Linked DNA regions of Drosophila melanogaster. The protein of the gene in region 2 purifies or fractionates together with the protein of the main gene of each other region. This does not show direct contact. Each region holds a gene or a part of one and is shown on either strand. Other genes may lie near its edges.

What was found.
Region 1: the proteins of Rab14 (region 2) and Tbc1d15-17 purify together in Drosophila melanogaster (affinity purification with mass spectrometry, with the first as the bait; one large-scale study listed by BioGRID). This does not show direct contact.
Region 3: the proteins of Rab14 (region 2) and Rabex-5 purify together in Drosophila melanogaster (affinity purification with mass spectrometry, with the first as the bait; one large-scale study listed by BioGRID). This does not show direct contact.

What each region holds. Positions count from the first base shown.
Region 1 is NT_033779.5:203,609-211,936, forward strand, and holds Tbc1d15-17 (TBC1 domain family member 15/17), read left to right. Parts: upstream 1-3,570; 5' UTR 3,571-3,903; coding exon 3,904-4,023; intron 4,024-4,102; coding exon 4,103-5,000; intron 5,001-5,120; coding exon 5,121-6,250; 3' UTR 6,251-6,898; downstream 6,899-8,328. Other genes in the region: mRpL10 (mitochondrial ribosomal protein L10), read left to right, coding at 262-283, 385-1,109; CG11617 (uncharacterized protein), read right to left, coding at 1,436-1,604, 1,664-2,335, 2,393-2,436.
Region 2 is NT_033779.5:14,353,766-14,361,415, forward strand, and holds Rab14 (Rab14), read left to right. Parts: upstream 1-3,275; 5' UTR 3,276-3,442; coding exon 3,443-3,506; intron 3,507-3,515; exon of another isoform or gene 3,516-3,575; coding exon 3,576-3,689; intron 3,690-3,754; coding exon 3,755-3,935; intron 3,936-3,989; coding exon 3,990-4,172; intron 4,173-4,240; coding exon 4,241-4,418; 3' UTR 4,419-4,999; downstream 5,000-7,650. Other genes in the region: l(2)34Fd (lethal (2) 34Fd), read right to left, coding at 1-653, 707-1,108, 1,167-1,232; Pgant35A (polypeptide N-acetylgalactosaminyltransferase 35A), read left to right, coding at 5,615-7,513.
Region 3 is NT_037436.4:1,292,224-1,299,927, forward strand, and holds Rabex-5 (Rabaptin-5-associated exchange factor for Rab5), read left to right. Parts: upstream 1-3,689; 5' UTR 3,690-3,802; coding exon 3,803-3,956; intron 3,957-4,041; coding exon 4,042-4,245; intron 4,246-4,299; coding exon 4,300-4,612; intron 4,613-4,685; coding exon 4,686-6,105; 3' UTR 6,106-6,274; downstream 6,275-7,704. Other genes in the region: CG32333 (uncharacterized protein), read left to right, coding at 1-1,235, 1,295-1,506, 1,575-1,815, 1,870-2,062; scf (supercoiling factor), read left to right, coding at 6,503-6,977, 7,096-7,610.

The sequences.
Region 1 (8,328 bases), about 14 Mb from region 2:
TCACACATGATTAAAATTGTAATATTTAATCAAACAAACTACTGACTATTTATTTTTTTTAATCTTATCTTTAAACTAAAATAAACTTAATTGTAACCGAAGAAGGGCTCGACGAGGTGGCAACGCTAGCCGGCGAAATATCGATGAAACCAAATATCTGGCTATCGATAAGAATGAATAAACATCGTTTTAGTAAAAATAAAGTTAAATAAGGAGAAGTTCTAGTTTTAGAGATTAGATACCTTAATACAGTTCTACAGCATGGCCACCCTGATACAAAGAAGTAAGTTGGACGGTTCATAGCGGTTGCCATTTTGAGCTTGGCCTGTTGTGTAACATGTAACATCTATGTACAAGCTTTTACTGATGTGTAAATGATTTTAGGCCTTTCCCTGGCTAAGAGCAGTACTCCTGCGCTACAATTTCTTCGCTTTAGGGGTAAGATCAATATACAGCGGCCGAAAGCACCGCACTACGAGCGGGCCCGGGTAGTCGCAGTCACGCAGCCGAAATATCCGGAACTCCCAAAAGCTAAGAGCTGCTTCAAAACGCGTGCGGAGCGCACGCAACAGCAGCAGGAGAATCCATACAACGAAATCATCGCACGAGAGGTGCGGAATTGGCTGGATCATTCCCGACTGGTTGCCTTCTTTCACTTAAGTTCTATAACCGCCGATGACATCTTCCGCGTGCGCGTTCAGCTTCACAAGCAGAACCTGCACCTCAAGTCCTACGGCAGCAAGATCATCGAACAGGCGGTGAAGAATACTCGATACGAAGCGATTGTGCCCCTGTTCCACTCCAATCATTGCATCGTCTTCTCACCGGACCCGGAAAAGACTGCCGCACTGCTACGAATCGTTCGCAGGGTGCCGCAAATGGTCCTGCTGGGAGGCATCGTGGAGGAGACCATGCTGAGTAGGAACCAGCTTGTGGCCTACGCTCAGATGCCCGGCCTGCACGCGGTCCAGGCACAACTTGTCCAGACCCTTAGTCAAGCACCTGGCCACCTTATTCAGCAACTGCAGGCCCATCAGAACAGTTTTGTGCAAGTTCTTGATGTCCATGCTAAAAACCAGATGAATGAGGAAACGCCAAAGTCTACGTAGAAGTCAAAAAAGTCAAGTTTGTTATATAACAAGAAATCAAAAATTATATAATTGTTTTTCACTCTAAACTAGCTGTAGTAATTCTTAACTCTCGGCGCAACCTGGTTTTCACGTTTACATGAATATGATCGTCGTAGTTTATCACATAATTTAAATGAGTGTAGCTAAAAGGTTTTAAACTTGAAGAAAATCATGTAACGAGTGAGTATTGTACTGTAAAGTTCGAAAATGAAAACCAGAAGAAGCCCACTTGACTAGATTGCACGTTTTAGCGGGGCCTGAAACTTCTGCTGGAATGATGGCGTCAGTTCCGGAGTCTTCAGTCTTTAGATATGGTGCCAGCGCTGCCTGCAGTTGAAGGCGAGGTTGGCTAAGGCCTCTGCTGCTTCCAGTTCGTCCTTATGATGAAGCATCCAGCGTCCACCACGACCAGCCCCAGACACATCTGTGGTAAAGATCGCTTGTCCACAACTGCTATTACTGCTAGCTTTCTGCCTAAAGTGAATCGATTTTTATTTATCAAAATTCACCATACCAGCCCCGAATTGCCTTACCTGGTCATATTCCACTCGATGTGATAATTGTTCCTGTCCGGTGTGAATTTTGCTGCACTTTCCAGCCACTTGTTGAGTTGCGTACCCTGTTGACTGGTCGTTTTTGCCGTGGAACTATCTCGCATATACTTTTCCATCATCTGATGCTTGTACTTGGTCTTACCCCCTGTTTGTGCTGATATCCGCTCGGTCAGACCTGCAGATCCTACAAACAATATCGGCTTGTATGGGGATGAAGGTTCATTATTGGCATTGCCATCGCTACCAGTACTGTGGCTGGAAAACTCTTCATTATCGTCGCCTTCGTCATCCTCCGCAGGACATGAGTGCATCTCCTCCTCCCAAATGCTATCCTCCGACGAGATGCTAAATTGTTCCACATTACCCCTTGCATTGTGATTGTAATTTTTGATCAGATGGCCCCAGGATTTCTTGGCTTTCTCTCGCTCCGAGTTTTTAAGCTTTCTTCGCCAGTTTGCAAACCAATTGCAAATCTGAGTGTAAGTAAGTCCAGTCTCTGCAGCAAGCTGTTTTTTCTCCTCCCTGCTAGGATAGGGATTCTCCCGGCGACGAATTAACCAGTCCTTTAGCATCCTCTTAATGTCGGGAGTAAATAATCTCTTTGTAGCTCGGGATGCTGGATGCAACTCCTCCTCTGGTGGCCAGGCTCGTCTGGAAAAGCACGCAAAAAGAATAACTACATCCCAAAAACAATTTTTCAAATCTTACCTGCTGTGTCGACGATTTCGTTTAGGCCGCGTTGACTTGTCCATGAGGTTCTGAAAACAAGGAAAGTAATTTAAAGAACTGACACAGAATCGCACACATCGCTATCTCTGTTAAAAATACCGTGTAAGTCAATTTAGTTTTTGAACTTTCAGTGGGTGGCGCTATTTCTGGCGCACCGATTTTCATGTTTTTTGCTCTGTGGATATTTCTTGCTCTCAAAATAACGAAATAAATATTTTTGTTTGCCCAATCTCAGAGCAGGAGAGCTCGAGAGCCAGATGGTGATATCACAACCATCATGAGAGTTTTTTACTTTTCGTAACAGAAGTAGAAATCTGTTAAGGGATTTTTTTTCGTCCACAACTGCTCGCAATAAGGTTGTTGTTCATGTTGTTCATTCGTTGATAAAATCCGCAAAAAAATAATGCCAATGACAAATAGTGCCAAAACTCACACAAGTTAAAATGTAAAGTTACTACATTATTAACGTCTGGAAACTTTGGGAAAAGTCCAATTACGTAGGAGATGCATCGCATTTGTTGACATTCTTAGGCCATTTTGCTAACATTAATTATATAACTCGAACTTAACGTTATAGACTTGTTTTTTCGCACCGAATTAAAATTGGAATATACGTATATGTATTGGAAAATTTAAGCTATTTTATTCTAGCTTAGCTCTAAAATGTTCTTCACCCACCTATATTTGGCTTATATTTTTTGATAATGTGTCATTATATTTTATAATTTTAAAATTGTCGAGTGCTTGTGCTTTGTCCGACGTTCTCGGGCGAACTAAACTCTGAGTTTTCAAAACACCCAGAAGAGGCAACGAAGATCATTATCAAATAAGACGGATTCATTTAACCTATTTACAAAATACAACTAGATATGTTTGCTTATTTTAAAATGATCTCTGTTCTCGGTGAAATCGACGAGAGTCGAGAGAAACTAAATTGATCGTGCTCTGTTGCTCTGCGAATTACTTGACTCTCGATTGGAAATGTTATGAAGTGATTATGCGGGGTAGGCGGACAGGATAAAATCATTACAAGTTTTTATACAAACTAATTATGAATTGAACTGCAGACTAGAGAGCAGAGCAAAGCGTACGCCGTTTCGAGGAATTCTAGAGATACGATATTTTTTGGTTCGCCTGGCCCCTTATCCAAGTAAATTATCATATGGTCCGCAAATTGCAAAAGACATAAAAAAGAAAGAGATTCCAGACCCTGCGAGAACGGAAACACGATGAAGTATTGGCTAATAGCAGTTTGCAGTTCTAATAGCAATTGACTAATTTCGCTGCCAGACTTCTTGTAAACTAAGGCTGCCACACCGATGGAAAAATGTCACGGAATGTGGCCATTTTTACCTCGGTGATAAAATACCCCCATACAAAACGCTGACATGTAAAATTTAGCACCTTCGTGGGACAATTGTTTATATCTGAAACGTAATAGCACAGGCTAATTTGAACTATAATACAAGAAGACATAATTGCCGGCAGCCATGGACGAATCGGTGCGATATGACCGCTGTCACCAGGTGCAGCTGGGCGTTTTCAACGAGTCGCAGTTGTCTTCTGTGGAGGAGGACGTGCAGAATCTGCCTCAGCAGGGAACGGGAAACGTAAGTGTCTCGTTTTTCACCTGACTCATGGATGTTCCTTCCTTACTGCCATTATGTTATTCCGTTACACGATCCAAAGATCCTCTTCACCCACGACGGCGTGCTTCTGAAGAAAGCCAGTGCGGAGCACATCGCGGATCTGAACACCAGCGGCTCCCTTTCCTTGGTGGAATATTCGCGATCCATCGCGGAAATGCCCCGTAGGAGACTGTTGCTCGAGTGGCAGCCCAATGACAGTATCATGATTGCGGACGACAGCCAGGATCAGGGAGACTGGGCGCTGGTAGACAGGATTTCCGGGCGAACACGCACCACATCCGAGTGCCGTGCCTTCAACACTAGACCCATTGAACCGAGCGGTGGAGCGACCACCCGTTCGCGAGTCATGCGTGCCCAACTGGAAGATTTGTCTTCTGTAGAGGTGCGCCATCGCGGACAGACGATCCGTTTTATGCGGAAAGGGGCTAATGGCGTCCACAGCGAGTTCTTTTTCCAGCATGGAAACGCAGACCTATTTGTGCGCTCCATGCGCGATCAGCACCTAATCGAGAACGCCGAGACTAGTCGCAGTGGCGGCGAGGTGTATGCCATATTGACCACCGAGAACCAAAAATTGAAAAAGACGTTTGCTGAACTTGACATTGGCCAGATTAAGGCAAGCCAATTGCCACGTGAGAGCTGGCTGCCCAACAAGCTGGCCGGAATCCTGGGCAACATTCCCGATTACGTACAGCCTCCGTTCCAGCGTTCGCCCAAATCTAGGCCGGGAGTCTTGATCTCTGGCGATCGGCAGACTTCACCGGACAATTATCAAATAATTGGGCTAAGTGGCAGCACCAATAGTGCCTGTTCCTCAAACGGACAGTCTCGTGGGGGCAGTGCAGAGAAGTCTCCCGCCGACAGCGAGCTGGAAACTCTTAATGCCCAGGACGAAAAAATAGTTAACAACTTGCCCGATCGCCAGCGGGTGGAGAGAGGTGGGTTGATATTAATTCTTAAAAGAGAGTTCTTGACACTTAAAAAGCTTAAGAATTTACTAATAGAAATAATTCTTAGGGTTCCGAACATGAGTTTATTAATATATTTTTAATGGACAGGTCATCCCCTAACCGAGACGCAGTGGCTAGAGTTTCAGACGCCCGACGGCCGAATTTCCGATAGCGCCCGAATCAAGGAGCTCATCTTCCGCGGCGGCGTCGTGCAGAGCCTGCGGCCAGAGGTTTGGAAGTTCCTTCTCAATTACTACCTTTGGTCGGATACTCATGTGGAGCGGATCGAGCGTCGTAAGCAAAAGTCTATTGAGTACTACAACATGAAGGCCCAGTGGCTTGCTATGACTACGACCCAGGAGGCGAATTTCTGTGGCTACCGGGAGCGCAAGTGCCAGATTGAAAAGGATGTGAAACGCACAGATCGCTCTTTGCAATTCTTTGCCGGAGAGGATAATCCCAATCTAACCCTTCTCCAGGGTATCCTTATGACATACGTGATGTATAACTTTGACCTTGGTTATGTTCAGGGTATGTCCGATCTGCTTGCGCCCATTTTGGAGATCCAGGTAAACGAAGTGGACACCTTCTGGTGCTTTGTGGGCTTCATGGAGCTGGTGTTTACCAACTTTGACATAGACCAGGCGGGCATGAAAACGCAGTTCGCCCAGATTCGTCGCCTTATTGAATTTGCCAATGCCCCGCTATTTAACTACATGAGATCCCACGACTCGGACAACATGTACTTCTGCTTCAGATGGCTCTTGGTTTGGTATAAGCGGGAGCTAAACAGCGAGGACGTTTTGAAATTATGGGAATGTCTGTGGACTCGGCTACCCTGCCCCAACTTCCACCTACTGTTTTCGGTGGCCATCCTCGATCAAGAGACTAGAGTGATCATCGACAGCCAGTACGAGTTCACAGAAATCCTGAAGCATGTAAACGAACTGTCTGGAAACATAGATGTTCAAAAAACCTTGCAGGTAGCTGAGGGTATCTATCTGCAGCTCAAGGGCTCTGAAACGTTGCCCAATGACATACGTAGCATCATTGGCGAACCACTCTTGCCAGCAGCCGCTGGTGAAGAGATTGATGGGGGCATGGTAGATGAGGAACCTACTTACTCGGACGATGGCTTCGACGAATTGGTGAAAGAGCTCACTCCCGAAGAGAAGGTTAGGCAGCAAGCTTTGCTTGAGGAGGCCTGCGAACGCTCCCTCTTCCTTCAGTTCCACTAATTAAAGTGGAATAAAAACGATGGACACCTGGAAAAAACAAAGCCAATAGCCCACAGAAAAGTATGCGCAAATTACGCTGCCCTTCAAGATGGTTGCCTAACTAGATTATATTTGCGGTTGCAAACTGTGGGTCGTATCTATTAATACTGTGGCTCATATAAATTCACTGTTACAAAAAAGATCAATCGAGAATCTGACTGTTTCTCCGTGTTTAACACGAGTCGCCCGTAAGCGTCCGCAAAAAAAATCATATTTTGGTAAACAAAACATTGGAGCAGTGTTAGCTTAGACTATAAGACTTAAAGTTTACTCTCGCATCGAAGCTAAGCGAGGCGGGCCAAGCGGATACACTGATTTATATATTGTATATTATACATTTGTACTTTTTTGTAATTATTGTAAGTTCTCTTCCTCACCTCAAAACCAAAACACCCTCATCCTATATTCGATCACCTCTAATTATATAAAGAAATTAGTTCTCGTGCCTGTGAACTCAAAACATTTTAGGTATCACTTTGCTTTATCGGACTTCAACACGCCTGTCTTTTTTTTTAAGTTTAGTCAATTACTGTGAATATACATCCGTATACAAGTACATTACAAATGCATAGCAAAAAGATCTAAAATACAACTCCAAAATTCACACATAAAGAACATTGCTTTTTATATGCTGTTTTAAGGATACATTTCGGAATTAATCCATCAAGAACTTGACTGCCATTTGTATTCGGGTGGCCATATCCTGGAACGGTACGGCGTGATCAAGGCAAATGCCTTGCGGAAAAGTTTCGTTAAGGGCATACGAATCGCAGACTTGACCAGGCTACCTTAACACGTCTAAAAATCGAGGAGCTCAGTAATAAATCGTATGTTAATGTAATTTTTAAAATTTATTTTTTATATATTTATTTATCATCAATATCAATAGTTGATGCTTGGGTGTTTCTTGCTGTTGTTGCTTCTTCTGGTTGATGTTGCTTTTGTTTGTTGTTCTGCAGTTATATAATAATTTTAATTACGAGTAATACTTACAAATTAAGTATGCAATATATGTGGTTGTTTGTTTTGCTTTTTTTTTGTGTGCCTTGTTAACGTCTCAAAATAAATTGTTCTCATAAAGTGCGGATCAAATTTGTCCATAATTCATTTACTCAGCTGAATAATTATACAAAATGACCTAAATATTGCATTGCTGCTCATCAAGCGTGCAAGATTCATATTCTCGGGCTTCTCAATTACAACAAAATTGATTTAATTAAAAAATTCTATTTTTCAATAAACACTTCCCACCTGTTAGTTACGCGCCAGGACTTGCATGTTGGTGTCGGTGGTTCATGGGACACACAAGTGTATAATAAAACATACGAATTACAAATACAAGAGTTTAAAATATACGCTTGAAAGATTGATTTGCGCCATTAGCATTCCATCCTTTCACATTTACTAATTACAGAATTAAAATGATCAAAATTACACGCAGCTTTCGGGGACACACATAAAGAATAGAGAGTTCAGTATACAACATATTGGGGATGGAAGTGTGGAAAATGGTTTAGTTTGAGGAGAATACATGGTGCCTTACTATATTAAAAACAGTTAAGCAATACGAGTCATTTTAAGATTATGAATTATGTACAGGTATTATATATGTATAGAGACTGCATGTGCCAGGACAGCGCCAGAAACCCAAGTATATGTGTCTCTACATTTTATGCATGGATAGTGTTTTGTTTAAACATTTTTCTGTCGCTTATCAATTATACGTTTTAGCAATAATTTAAACGGAAAATCCTCGTCGTGCAACAGCACTTTGTTTCTCTTGTTACAATTAAATTATAAGCGCTTTTTAATTATGTTCGTAATTATATAAATAATTAAGCAGCCAGAGGAAGGGACACTATTGACTTATCAAGCACCATATAAGCAGCAGATGAAACTTGAGTAAGTCATGGGTAAGGCGCTCTGCCCTCCAGTTCAGACGGAGTTGCAGCAGTGTCGAACTTTATGGCGTTGAGACAAACCCAAATCCGTTTTCTCCAAATTGGCTCCTAATCTCTATATATAGATTATATATGGTT
Region 2 (7,650 bases):
GCTGTGACGAACTGATAGTCATCGTACACATTCTCCACGACCTCCGATTCGATCTCCTCGGTGAGGTTATCCAAGAACGAGCACCATCGGGGTGCTGGACCCATTGCAGGCACATAATAGGTCATCATCTTAACATCCTCCTGGGCTACGAAGAACATGCCCGTGTCGGGAATGGTGCAAAAATCGTTGAATGACGAAGTCGACTCAACGTAGGCGATCTGCTTGCCTGTCTGCTCGTCCCACAGCTTCAGTGTAGCCTCGTCCAAACTATAGACGGCATTCTGAGCCGGATTAAAGGCCAGACGCTTGATGGGCAGTCGATTCAGATGATTCTTCACCAGCAACGGTTGCTTGGCGCGAATGTCGTAGATCAGCACGTGTCCCGAAGCAGTTCCCACTCCCATGTGCAAGCCGTTCCGGAATTTGAGGGCCGTGACCGATGGAAACTCCTTGACGCCCGGCAACTTCATGGCTACATCCAAAGTTGAACATCGTTGCTTGGTACGTGGATCCCAGGCTTCTACGGTGCCTTCTTTGGTACCGGCTACCAGAAGATGGTGCTCTGGATTCACTTCACAGGCGTTCAGGCAGCTGCCATCCGTTTCAAAGGGTTGCAGGAACTGACCGCGCTCCAAATTGAGTCGGAAAATGTCCTGAAATCAAATCTTTAGAATAAACTAGACATTAGATAGACCTCAGTTCTTACCCTGCCCACTCCCACGATGAACATGTCGCAGCTGGGCTTGTGGTACTTCATGTCGCGTCCAAAGCGCGGTATCCTTAGTCTGTAGTGCCGCCCGTGGGCCGCATGGATCTCCACATAGCGATCGCATTGCAGGAACACCATCTTGCTGTAGTCGTCGCTAATCACCTCAAAGGTGGTCACCTCGGCGTCGAAGCAGCGCTCGAATTTGATAGACAGGTTGGACACCTCGAAGCACTTGACGCGCGGCTTGTAAGTGCCGGTGGCCAGGATGTACTGTTGGTCGGGACTCATGCGGATGCTGGTGCAGACGCCGGGCATATCGAAGTCCTGGATGAGCTCGATCTGTCTCCGGGAGTCCACTTTTTTCATGAGCTGTGACCGCTTTCGCCGATCCGTCAGCCACTGTGAAGGAGATACTCATGAGTTAACTGCTTGGCAACGGGTTTATCTTGCTACTCACATCTGGCACCGACTTGCCGGCGCTCAGGTTGTAGATCTTCACATCGTTAACTTCGTTTACGAACATCTTGAGGGACGATTTTTGCTCAAAATTAAAACATAAACAAACGAAGTCCGCAACACGTGCGCCCTCTATCGATAGACACGATTGTCGATAGCATCTGGCTGCGATAAGCACCTATCGCGGCAGTGTGACCCTTGGCTTGCCAATTGCTCAGTGTGACCGCAGGAAACCAAGCAAAACAAGAGAACGCAAAAGCAGTGAAAAAAGACTACTGATTTGCATCGACCTACCAATTGAAAATAATCGCAATAATTGCCTCTCGGTGCAGCCCCGCAACCCCGCGAAGCCAGTGTGCGTGCTAGCACGAAAGTGAACTGCATTTTGCATCGCCAAATTGCCCAAAAATTGCAATCGAATTCCGCACAGCCAAACAACAATACGCACACATACACACAGTACCCCCCGCTCTGCGTAACCGCCCTACGTTACACATTCCGTTCGCTCCCTAAGGTGGACTAAAACTAAAGTGATCTAAAACGGTGAGTAATATTCGTTGTTTTTCCTTAAGCCAATTAAACACTGATTAAATTATGCGAAATGGAAAACCGTCTGCGAAGGGGTGACGCAGTGCAGCTGTGGGTGCTCCGCAACTTTCCCTTGTGCTCTCGCTCTCTCTTGTTTTTGTCGTTAGGCAGCAGCACTCCATTGTTGTTGTATACACCCCCTGATTGCTTTGATACCCTGCAATGGGGAGTTACTGTTTTGTGACCAAGTTAAGAAAATAAATATGATTTACAAAAATCGATTAATTCTGGGGATGTTTCAGGTTTTTATGGTGTATAATTTATTTTTTGAATTTTTAGGGGATGGTGGGGCAAAAACGGCCGCCACTCTACTTAAAAATCGGTAGGTGAGGAGTTTGTTTAGTATACGCTATAAATAAATACTCTAAATTAGTTTTTATAAGATGGATTATTATATGAGTGTATGAGTTATCATAGAAATATTTACCTGTGCTTATATATTAATTTATTATATGAATTATGCAAACAAGGTTTTTTCAAAATGTAGGCGAGCATGAATAAAAAATTATAATAAATCAGAAGTTTTCTTAGTAGTTGTTATCAGTTATTAATATATTTCTTTTTCATTTTGTTGTGTCTTATTGCGTTGTTGTCTTCAATGCGGGCTTATTTTATTAGTTTGAATGGATGTGCGCTTATTTGTAGATACTCAAATATCAAATCGTATTCAGTTATATCTTAGAAATGGAATATAAAGCGCACATTTATAAAAGTATATTTATATTTAAGATTTTTTGCCAAAGGGTATACATACTTCGTCTGTGTATAAATATATATTTCTCATACTCCTTTCGTTATTTTCCCTGTTATGGGTGCGCCGCTGTGTTCCTTTTATGAGGGGCAATGATGATCCACTTCCATTCAACACATTTTGCAAATAAGTACATATGTACTTCGCCTCCATTGATTGCTCCACTGATGTTTGGCCTTTGGCGCTTGACTGATAAGACTCGAGACCGAGACCTACTACTTAGTTAGTCTAAACTGCCCGTCATAGAGCCTATTAAACTGATATGCACTTGTCACTTTGACAAGCAATGATAAGCGATTATAACTGTATTTGATGATTTAAGTATGAGCAATTAAGAATCCATAATTGATACTCATCTTTTCACACTATATGCTGCTAAGTCACATTCTTTTGTATGAAATTCATTCATATGAAGTAAGGCAGGATGATTACCCTAAATACAAACTAACTTGATGAATAACTTCGCGCGTACTGCTCTTAATAATTGAATTCCCACGATTGCTTGCTCGGCGACCTTGATCCAAATCGCTTTCAGCTTGGGCGAAGGGTTCAATTCACTCTCTTCAGCGCCCCTTAACTGCGGACAAATCAAAGGCTTTCGAACGACACGGATACTGCGAATGGACAAAGTCAAGTGGCATGAAGTGGATATACCCGCCGCTCTTGAAGCTTGCCTCTTTCTTATTTTTTTTTTTTTTTGGCTTCAGTTGGCAGGCAAACAAACCCGGTCGGCTGTTCAAACACAAGCAGGCCTTAAAAAGAAATATCGGGGCCAGTTCGAGAAAGGGGAACAAAATGTGGTGTCGACGCAGAACAAATTAATGCAGCGCCTCGGTTTGTTGATAAGCAGCGACTACGGTTGGACATTCAAATGAGGAGCTGATAGTAGTAGTTAACACTGTTTGATTGGGTCAGAGTTCATTTCTGCCGGTGTCAAGATGAGCAAAGTGCGCAGCGTGGTGAACAAACTGCACGAACGCATAGACTACTTTATTGAAAAATGTGTGAAATATTCTATATACTCAATGACTCTGCAATGTAATAATAATAATAATTTCGCTTGCTTTTTAGGTCCCAACATGACTGCAGCGCCATACAACTACAACTATATCTTTAAATACATCATCATTGGTGACATGGGCGTGGGCAAGTCCTGCCTGCTCCACCAGTTCACCGAGAAGAAATGTGAGTAGACTGTGCTGAGTAATAATGTATGTAATAAGAACTAATCTCTACTTGCCGTCCTGCAGTCATGGCCAATTGTCCTCACACCATTGGCGTGGAGTTCGGCACACGCATCATTGAGGTGGACGACAAAAAGATCAAGCTACAGATCTGGGACACAGCGGGTCAGGAGCGATTCAGGGCAGTGACACGCTCCTATTACCGTGGAGCAGCTGGTGCGCTGATGGTCTACGATATTACCAGGCGGTAAGCGAAGCAAGCTACTATTTGAGAAATTGCTTTACAACTTGACCATTCCAGCTCCACGTACAATCACCTGAGCAGCTGGCTTACCGACACTCGCAATCTCACCAATCCCAGCACTGTGATCTTTCTCATTGGCAACAAATCGGATCTGGAGAGCACTCGGGAGGTTACCTACGAGGAGGCCAAGGAGTTTGCCGACGAGAACGGCCTAATGTTTCTCGAAGCGAGCGCTATGACGTGAGTTTCAACTGGAAGCATAGTGTTTGAGCATATACTGATTATCTTTTTTTTTATCGCCCAAACAGTGGCCAGAATGTGGAGGAGGCTTTTCTGGAGACCGCACGCAAGATTTACCAGAACATCCAGGAGGGTCGGCTCGATCTGAACGCCTCCGAGTCCGGAGTTCAGCACAGGCCATCGCAGCCGTCGCGAACTTCGCTGAGTAGCGAGGCTACGGGCGCCAAGGATCAGTGCTCGTGCTAAATGAATGATGGAACCTAACTTTACGCAAAACCTAGTTATACAAATCAACTTTTATTTTTAGCCGACTCGTAATCTACCGATGCCCAAGCAAAAACCAATGTATGTAGTTAAATAATTCGATTAAGCATCAATGTGTGAGCCAACAACAGCGACAGCAACCACAAAAAAAAAAAAAAACAGAAAAAGAAAATATAAAGTCCTTTCGCTTAATAAGACGCAAGCATTGCAACATTTATTGTATCGGTTAAGCATAAATACTAGAAAATTAAACATGTTTGTTGGCGCAAACTAAAGTTTTGACCATGAAATTTCGAAAAGTTTATCGCACTAACACCATCCTTCGGTCTCAATTTATAGATGAATTCGTTTGAGATATAGATCATGTTTTTGTTGGCTGATGAATCCCTGTATATAATATATATATGTATGAATTTTTGTATCTCCCTAATTTTTTGTTGAGTATTTGTTGTTGTCGCGTGCAAGAATTGGAGGAAACGATCAATGTTATATGAATATTTACGATGTATTAATGGCATAATGCAATAGGAAATAAATAAAATGGTATTTATAAAACCCCTACCAATAGAAATGAATTTCTCTTTCAAATAATTTAAATTTTAATTTGCATATTTAACCATTCGTTTATATTTAATTCTACACCAAATCGCTGGATAATTTTATAATTTACCGGATTTCCATTTAATAGATTTAAATTTTATAAATATTTGGGTACTTACGATTTACTTAAATATTTTGTAAAAAGCTTTTTTAATCCATTTAGTGGAATACCCTCAACTTTGACTTGCGCATAACTTCATTCTTGTTTTATTTAGTGATGCTAACGTTGGGTTGGAAATCAGCTGATTATGACTATGAACAATAAAGTTTGTAAGTCAAACAACGATTTTTCGTATACTGTTCTTTTGTTTGTTGCTGGTTGTCTAATTAATCATTTTAACTGGTTATCAGTCCAATTTTTGTTTTCTACACTACACTATTCTACACTATTTTCGATTTCCTTGAAATTTAGCGGGAAAAACTCTGAGCTAGCATCTTCGGTGGCATCGCTGTGTGCGCGCTTTTGTGCGAATGCCATGGTATGCAAATTAAATTTAATTTATTCCGATCATCATGAAAGTGACAAAGTAGCTGCTTAAGTAGCCAGGGAAGCGCACAACGTAATCTAATCTCGATCCATGATGCAAATCAAGCGCCTCCTGTGCAAATCCTGCGGCCTGGGCACCCTTCTGGTGGCGGTCGTCTGGCTGCTGGCGCTGCTTTTCTACTCGCACAGCCTGCGCAGCTCCATCCGCTCGGCAGGATGGAGGATCGACGAAGGGAACGCAACGCCACGGGCCGAGCTGAGCTACCAGGCCAGGGTCACCGTCGGATGCACTCCAAATGCCAGCATTACCACTGGCGAATCGCCGGCGGCACCCAAGCCGCCCAGTGATCCGGAGCAATTGGAACTGTTGGGTGTGGTGCGCAACAAGCAGGACAAGTACATACGCGACATTGGCTACAAGCATCACGCCTTCAACGCGCTGGTGTCCAATAACATAGGACTCTTCCGGGCGATCCCAGACACTCGGCACAAGGTGTGCGATCGCCAGGAGACCACGGAAGCGGAAAATCTGCCCCAGGCCTCCATAGTCATGTGCTTCTACAACGAGCACAAGATGACGCTGATGCGCTCGATTAAGACCGTGCTGGAACGCACGCCCAGCTACCTGCTGCGCGAGATTATTCTGGTGGATGATCACAGCGATCTTCCAGAATTGGAATTCCATTTGCACGGGGATCTGCGTGCCCGCCTGAAGTACGACAACCTGCGGTACATCAAAAACGAGCAGCGCGAGGGTCTCATTCGTTCCCGGGTCATTGGTGCACGCGAGGCCGTGGGCGATGTGCTCGTCTTCCTCGACTCGCATATCGAGGTCAATCAGCAGTGGCTGGAGCCGCTGCTGCGCCTCATCAAGTCGGAGAACGCCACTCTGGCCGTGCCCGTCATCGACCTGATCAACGCTGATACCTTTGAGTACACGCCCAGTCCACTGGTGCGCGGAGGATTCAACTGGGGCCTGCACTTCCGCTGGGAGAATCTGCCCGAGGGCACGCTCAAGGTGCCGGAGGATTTTCGCGGACCCTTCCGTTCGCCCACCATGGCCGGCGGATTGTTTGCCGTGAACAGGAAGTACTTCCAGCATCTGGGCGAGTACGACATGGCCATGGATATATGGGGTGGCGAGAATATAGAGATCTCCTTCAGAGCCTGGCAATGCGGTGGCGCCATTAAGATCGTTCCCTGCTCCCGTGTCGGTCACATATTCCGCAAACGACGTCCGTACACTTCGCCAGATGGAGCCAACACCATGTTGAAGAACTCACTGCGTTTGGCGCACGTCTGGATGGATCAGTACAAGGATTACTATCTCAAGCACGAAAAGGTGCCCAAGACCTATGATTATGGAGACATTAGCGATCGCCTCAAGCTTAGGGAGCGTCTGCAGTGCAGGGACTTTGCCTGGTATCTAAAGAATGTCTATCCAGAGCTGCATGTGCCGGGCGAGGAGTCCAAGAAGTCGGCGGCAGCGCCCATCTTTCAGCCTTGGCACTCGCGAAAACGTAACTATGTCGACACATTCCAGCTGCGACTGACGGGAACGGAGCTCTGTGCCGCCGTGGTGGCTCCCAAGGTGAAGGGTTTCTGGAAGAAGGGCAGCTCCCTGCAATTGCAAACCTGCCGAAGGACACCCAATCAACTGTGGTACGAAACGGAGAAGGCGGAAATTGTGCTGGACAAGTTGCTGTGCCTGGAGGCATCCGGGGATGCGCAGGTCACGGTCAACAAGTGCCACGAGATGCTCGGCGATCAGCAGTGGCGGCACACCCGCAACGCCAACAGTCCCGTCTACAACATGGCCAAAGGCACCTGCCTCCGGGCAGCTGCTCCCACGACGGGCGCCCTCATCAGTCTGGATCTGTGCTCCAAGTCCAACGGAGCGGGCGGCTCCTGGGACATTGTGCAGCTGAAGAAGCCAACGGAGGCGGAGGGCAGGGCCAAGGAGGCGAGGAACTCGGACAAGGCGCTGTGAGCGATTCGCTCGGATCGAATAATTCCGATTGCAATATTAGACTGATAACTGTTTAGGGCAAAGTGTATTATGTTTAAATAGCCAGTATTTTTTCATCAAACTTTTTTTTTTTAATAAATATGATCAAAATGTTGATG
Region 3 (7,704 bases), on a different chromosome or scaffold from region 2:
CGCCTTAATGGCGAGCAGCTGAGGTTACGCCTACAAAAGGTCCTGGAACAGCAGCAGCTTCAGCAGCAGCACCCCCACAAGAACCGAAAAAGGCAGGCAGGGACCTCCAGTCAAAGCAGGACTCCTGCCCGCCAACAGACTGAGGTACACAAGAAGATCTCCTCGGTGACGGTGAATATCAAACGGGAGCGCTCCCGTTACCAGCTCGATAGACTACGACATCTGCCCAACGGGGAGTCCACGGAGGTGGAGGAAATGGAACCACCTCCGAGGAGGAATCGCCACAAGACTGCCTGCGAGAAGTCCAAGTCGGATTTCGATATAACAAGTCTGAAGGACATGCAACCGTTGGATGCAGTGTGCTTGCCACCTCCCCAGCAGTTCCAGGATCAAGAGCAGGAGTTGGCGCTAGTCCTGGCCCCGCCGCCACCCGATGAGTTCCGTGATCCGCCACCGGAGCCAGCTCCAGCAGCACCCATAGCTCCAGTTCCTCCTCCTGCTGCTGCACTTCCCCCAACGGGAAAGACCAAGATTGTCGCTTGCCATCTGCCACCACCCCTAAAGGAACGCCAGCCCATTGGAGCCATTGATAATCCAGTGTATCACATCTACGAGTCACTGCGTCCCATCTCCACGCCGGCCATTTTCAGCAACAAGCCTGTGCTCAAGTCCCACAGCTTGGCGGAGTTGAAGAGGCCCCAAAACCTTCCTAATCACTCGATTAACCACCATTGCAAGACCCACGCCATAAATGCTAATGGTAATGTTCTGGAGAATGGTCTGGATCACGAACAGGACGAGATCAAGGAGAACTCCAATGGCCAGGTGAGGACGAACAAGCAGGGCCACGGTTCCAATACCAACTCCAAGCACAAGCGCAAGGGCCAATTGGCCTCCGCCGTGCAGGAGGCTCCTCCCAGCATCTCCCTGCTGGAGTTCGAGAAGTACCGCGAGGAGTTCCGCAAGCAGATCAAGTACCAGGGCAGCATATATTCCGACTACGTGCAGCTGGCCTCCGAACTGCCATACTTCTACATCAGCGACGAGTACCGCGCATTCTCGCCTAACGGCATGCATCTGGTCATCTGCGTCCACGGGCTGGATGGCAACTCAGCGGATCTGCGACTGGTGCGCACCTATCTGGAGCTGGGGTTGCCCGGTGTCAATCTGGAGTTCCTCATGTCGGAGAGAAACCAGGGAGACACCTTTTCGGACTTTGACACCATGACTGATCGGTAAGCAAAATACACTTCGAAGTCAATATAAATTTGATGTCATTGTTTAAATCATTTAGGCTGGTTACCGAGATACTCTACCATATCGATAGCTGCGCCCTTAATCCCGCTCGCATTTCCTTCGTCGCCCATTCGCTGGGAACGATAATTGTGCGGAGTGCTCTGGCTAGGCCACAAATGAGGCCTTTGCTCCCGCGACTGCACACCTTCCTCTCGCTCTCCGGACCCCACCTGGGAACACTCTATAATACGAGTGGGCTGGTGAACATGGGTGAGTCTATACCCATTCTTATACATTTAAGCGTGGTGATTAACCCAGGGTTGGGCCTCCTTTCGCAGGAATGTGGTTTATGCAGAAGTGGAAGAAGTCCGGATCACTGCTGCAGCTCTGCATGCGAGATACCACCGATATGCGGAACAGTTTCCTGTACCGGCTGAGCCAGAGGAGCACCCTGCACCATTTCAAGAACATCCTGCTCTGTGGTTCTAGCCAGGATCGCTATGTTCCGGCGCACTCGGCACGCTTGGAGCTTTGCAAGGCTGCCATGAGGGATAGCTCCTCGTTGGGTACCATTTACAGGTTCGATTGGAATGGCTCCTTGTTAAAATCGTGACTATAAAGATTCCTTTTCAGGGAAATGGTGCACAACATAATAGCTCCGATTTTGGCCAGGCCCGAACTGACTTTGGCCCGATTCGATGTCCACCATGCCCTGCCCCACACGGCCAACACTTTGATCGGTCGAGCGGCGCACATTGCTGTCCTGGACTCGGAGTTGTTTATTGAGAAGTTTATGCTGATCGCAGGACTGAAGTACTTCAGTTAACCAGGGCACTGAAGAAATGTCTGAAATGTCTTTAGAAGAGTCCTAGCGAATTAATCAAGTACTAAACACAGTCGGAAGATTCAACTACCAATTTGATAAAATTAAAAAAAAAAAAGATTATTTTCTTATAAGTATTTAATTACAGCATGTTTGTATAGTTTAAAAGTCATATGTTTCATTTTGTTTCTTCGTTTTGTCAAGAGTTTTGTTTGTATAACTGTATATATGGAAAGTTAAGACATATTCTTTTTGAAACTTACAATTTCTAACTTGCTGTACTTTCTGTTTTATACGCCGAACTTTTGAATACACAGGGTACTCATACATAATTCGAAGACAAAATAAGAACCACAGTCATCAGATCAGCCAAATAATTCCAATTGATCAGCGATTGGAACAAGGAATTTATTGAAGCAAATCGTTAGACTTGAATTTTTTACAAATGCAACTCTTTTGTAGCGAATTGAATACACTCAGATACGAACAAATCAAAAACCAAAGAATGTTTAATCAAAAACCTATAACCAAAACCAAAGTCAGCATAATGTTGAAACACACGCGTTAAAGATAATTACATTGTTAGCTGTAAGAGTTGAACGCATACAAAGCAAAAACAAAAGCCAAAGACATCATAAGTAGTGTTAAATTCCAGTTCAAAACTATACACGAGACTTTTTCGAAACGGTTGAATTGCAAATGGGAAGTGAACGAAAACAAGAACGATCATGTTAAGTATACGTAAACTATCGATAGTAGTTGAGCACGGCAAGGCAAGGTTGCATTTTGATGACAGTAGCGAAATAGTATTAGCAATTTTTAAGACTAATCAAAACACAAACAGAGACAAAATGGTTTTTTCCAAATCTTTTTACTGCTAGACGAGAGAACAAATTTAGAAGAACTAGAGATAAAGTAGAGGTAGTGTTGAACTAGTCGAGTTGTTAGTAGTTGAGTGCATTATTGGATCGTCAATTACGAGGAGAGCTGGACGATGCAAAGGTTTGTTTGCAGATTTAAACTTTTCATTGGGGAACAAGATCGGTAACGTAGCGTAGAGCAGTTAGGACAAAAAACTTTGCAAATTTATAGTCTAGTCTAAGCCATAACTCTGTGTTTTCTGAGCTTTTTCCAATTGCTGTTGTGAACTACTACCATTAGCGACCCTTCCAGAAATGCATTCTTTTTACGTGTATAACCGTCCTAAATGTTACTACTTTATCAACTTGCTATGTCGATATACGTGTGTAACTGGTTTTAAAAATGTTTGTGTGCATCTAAGAATTGAATGTGTGTTGAAATGTTCCCTAGGACACCACGATTTTACTACATGTATTCGATCTAATTGTGCAAATTTCCCTAAGTTGCAGTTTAAATATTTTCTTTACGAATAAAATATGCTAAAATCCAATTTTAGTGGAACATAACTGAATAGTGTTTTAATTGTATGTGGGTTTACAGGTCATATGCGAACTACGTTCTTTTTTATCAAAATTATATTCAAAAGAGGGAAATCCCCCTTGTACGAAGCGAACTAGTTCCATTCGATGGGCGGCTACTTAAAGCCGGCGAACCAGCTCATCTCTAACTTTCTGAGCGATGTCCCACCACTGGATAAAAGACCATCTGGCAACGCTGGCAGCAGTAGAATTATTTATCTCCACAATTCAGTCACGAAAACAATAAGCAACAAAGGGACTCCCACAGATAAGGGAGCTGTATTTTTATAGCCACACCTCCGAGATGTCAACGGCGGCGCGACCTCCGTCTTTGCGGCTGGGCCAGCAGGACCTCAAGTGCCGTTCAGGATGCGGGTTTTACGGAACCCCCCAAAACGAAGGATTGTGCTCGATGTGCTTCCGAGAAAAGTTTAATGATAAGCAGCGGAAGTTGAAGCGTAAGTTGAAGCGTAGGTCCCCAGACAATGCTTGCATATAACTCCAAAGCCGATGAGCGTTGAGTCATGAAGTGGTTCTTTACAGAGACGGGTGGCGAGACGGGTCCTGGATCCTCTTCCTCGGTCGCCACCTTGGATCGCCGATCGCCACAGCATGCGCACCTCCAGGGAAAAGTGGAGCAGCAGGTCAGGAAGCCGTCGGACAAGGAGCAGGACAACTTGGGAACCCTGCAAAAGAAAAAGTTTACCGCTGTGCTGCAAAAAACTCTGCAGGCGGGAGCCCAAAAAAGTAATATTGCATAGCCACACTGCCTTTAAATGCTTATACTTGGATATTCCTTAGTTACCCAACAGCGTGGTCATGTGCCGGATCCCACGGAGGGCCAGTTCCTACTGCAATTGCGGCAACTTCGCATTCCCGACGATGGCAAGCGGAAACTCAAGCTTGAAATCCAGCGTTTGGACAGCGACATCCGCAAGTATATGAACGGAAATGGCGGCAAAAACATCAACGAACTATCAGATTTGGTTCAAAACGCCTACACCAAAGTCTCAGACATTGTGCACAACGATCCCAGCTTCGAGATAGCCACCAACGAGGATCGCGATAGTGCCATTGACTTCTTTGAGAAAGTGGTGATGACGCAGAACCACAAGTGAGTCAAGCGGAACGTTGATATCAGAGGAGTACATATTTTTATCTGGGAAACTCTTTTTTTTTTTTTGCAGATTTCTCTTCAGTCCCTATTTCACTACCGATGAGGACAGTGACGTGAAGGTGCAGAAGCGGATACGCCAGCTGAGCTGGATTACGGCCAAGCATCTGGACTGCAGCATCGACGAGGTCAACTCGGAGGCCAGGGATCTGGTTTACAATGCTATATCCGAGCTGGTGGGCATAGATTCGTACTATTCGCCGCAGGAGAAGCTGCAGTGCACTTGGCGCTGCTGTAGGCACATCTTTGAGCTTCTGAAGCGGGCAACTGGAGGACCCGCCAGTGCGGATGACTTCCTACCCGCCCTAATATTCGTCGTGCTTAAGGCAAATCCAGTGCGACTGCACAGCAACATCAACTTCGTTACGCGCTTCACAAACGCTTCGCGGCTGATGAGCGGCGAGAGTGGCTACTACTTTACCAATCTGTGCTCCGCCATCGCCTTCATAGAGAATCTGAATGGCGAGAGTCTGGGCGTCAGCAGCGAGGAGTTCGAGGCTCTGATGTCCGGACAGCAGCCCTACAGCACGCCCTGGGAAAGTGCCCTGTTGGCCTGCGAGAGCCTTCACCTGATATCCGAGAACATGAAGCGAATGGAGATGCTGCAGAAAAGGAACGCCCTGATAAGCTCTGGAATAACTTCATTTGAAAAAGAGCTTATCGATTTCCAAAGAGAGGTGACGGAACGAGTAGACACCGTGATTGCCAAGGCCCCACTCAACCTGCTGCCCATCAAAACACCCGCTTTTCTGATTGGTCAAGCCAGGGCGCACCTTCTCAACGAAAGCGAGGCTGGTCATTATCAAGCGAATATGCTGCACGGCGGCTCATTGACCTCCCAGTCGCTGACAGCAGCCGGTGGGTTGGTAAAGCCCGCAGCGGCGTCTAAAGAATCTGGATTGTCCCTTAAGGATACCAGCATGAGTTCGATGGGCCGTCTGTCGCCACTTCAGCAGAACGTTCAGCCAGCCGATCACCTCTTCGCCTCTCCAATCTTTAACTACACCGCGTTTGATGCCGTCTCGCTCTTGGAGGAGCCTGTGCCCGATGCGAACACAGACGTACTCATGCTGGGCTCCGAGTTTCAAGGAGGCCTGACCAATATCAACTACGACTTCGACTTGTCGGATCAAAGTGGGGAAAACAGCACTGCGGACGAGTCAAAGCTGAATCTCGACGAATTCGACCCCTTGGCGCAGAAGGGCCTAGTTGCCAAGCCACCGCCGCCTCTGCCGGAGACCAGTCTGCTGGATAGCACAACGGATAGCCTTATAGATAGCGAAGTGCCCGGCACAGCTGTCCTGCTTCCATCCCCTCTGAAGCCCGAGGTGTCCAACTACCGGGGCTTCTCAAACTTCGATATTCCCAGCATCTCGTGCAACACGGGAGACTTTAGTTCTCTGGGACAGGACGGCGCGGATGCTCCCAAATAAACGTTTGTTCACTGGGTCACTGAATCCTGCAGCTGTGTGAATGTAAATAAGTTTAAGTGAAATATTGTAGTTAGCCCAACGCTTCAATTCAAATTTCTGCACATATTTATTTGTACCATATTTAACTAGCTTTACAGAAAGGACGTTTAATAAATGCAATCTAACACATACACAAGTTGTATTGTTTTTTACAATAAACGGTTAACTAAGTTTAATTTCTTTCCCAGGGGTAATTGCATGATTTTCAAAAGTCCCGCCAACTGGGCATCACTTATCCAATAATCTGGCAGCACTAGAAAAGTAACAAGAGAGATTGTTGTTTTCGAAATATCTCAATCACACACGATTTATTCTCAGTTTGCCTGCCGAACCGAACGGACGTGAGCGCTCACGAGAAATGGCTAGAACCCGAATTCAGATGCTGCTACTTGTTGTTGCGCTGACGGCGGTGATAAGTGGAGCAAGTGCCTCCAGCATACCGGAAGAGCTGCCCCACAATCCGCTCGAGCACGACCCCCTGCACCCCAGGCACTTCGACGGGGGCGAGCACAATGCCCAGTTTGACCACGAAGCCTTCTTGGGCCCGGACGAGTCCAAGAAGTTCGACAGCCTGACACCCGAGGAGAGCAGGCGGAGATTGGGCGTCATTGTGGACCGAATCGACGAGAACAAGGACGGGTCAGTCACATTGGCGGAGCTAAAGAACTGGATCGCCTACACCCAGAGGCGCTACATCGAAGAAGACGTGGGTCGCGTGTGGAAGCAGCACAATCCGGACAACAATGAGACCATAAGCTGGGATTCCTACATGCAGACTGTCTACGGCTTCATGGATGATCTGAGCCCCGACGAGAAGGAACAGGAGGAAAATGGTATGTAGCCCAAATCGTCATTGTAAGCAGAGGCATCAATTTGATAGGGAAATCACTGTTTTGATGGGCGGGAAACATCACATTAATCTAATCAAATTGTATTTGTTTTTTCGAACAGGAGTCAGCTACAAGAGCCTGCTGAAACGCGATCGGTACCGCTGGTCGGTGGCCGACCAGGACTTGGATGACAATCTCACCAAGGATGAGTTTACCGCCTTCCTGCACCCCGAGGACCATCCCAGCATGAAGGGTGTGGTTCTGCGCGAGACCATTACCGATCTGGACAAGGACCACGATGGCAAGATCTCGGTGGACGAGTACATTGGCGACATGTACCGATCGACGGGCGCGGAAGACGAGGAGCCCGAGTGGGTGGCTAACGAAAGGGAGGCGTTCTCCACACATCGCGACCTGGACAAAGATGGTTATTTGAACGAGGAGGAAGTGAAGCAGTGGATTGCGCCCCATGACTTCGATCATTCGGAGGCGGAGGCCAAGCACCTGCTGTTCGAGGCCGATGCGGACCACGATGATAAGTTGACAAAGGAGGAAATACTAGACAAGTACGACGTTTTCGTCGGCTCCCAGGCCACCGATTTCGGCGAGGCCTTGGCCCGCCACGATGAGTTCTAGAGTGTCTAGATACCCAGAATCCCTGAGATTAAGATTGATCCTATGAATCTCCCACTTCGCATGCCAAATAACTTGTAATCTTGTCTAGCCCTTA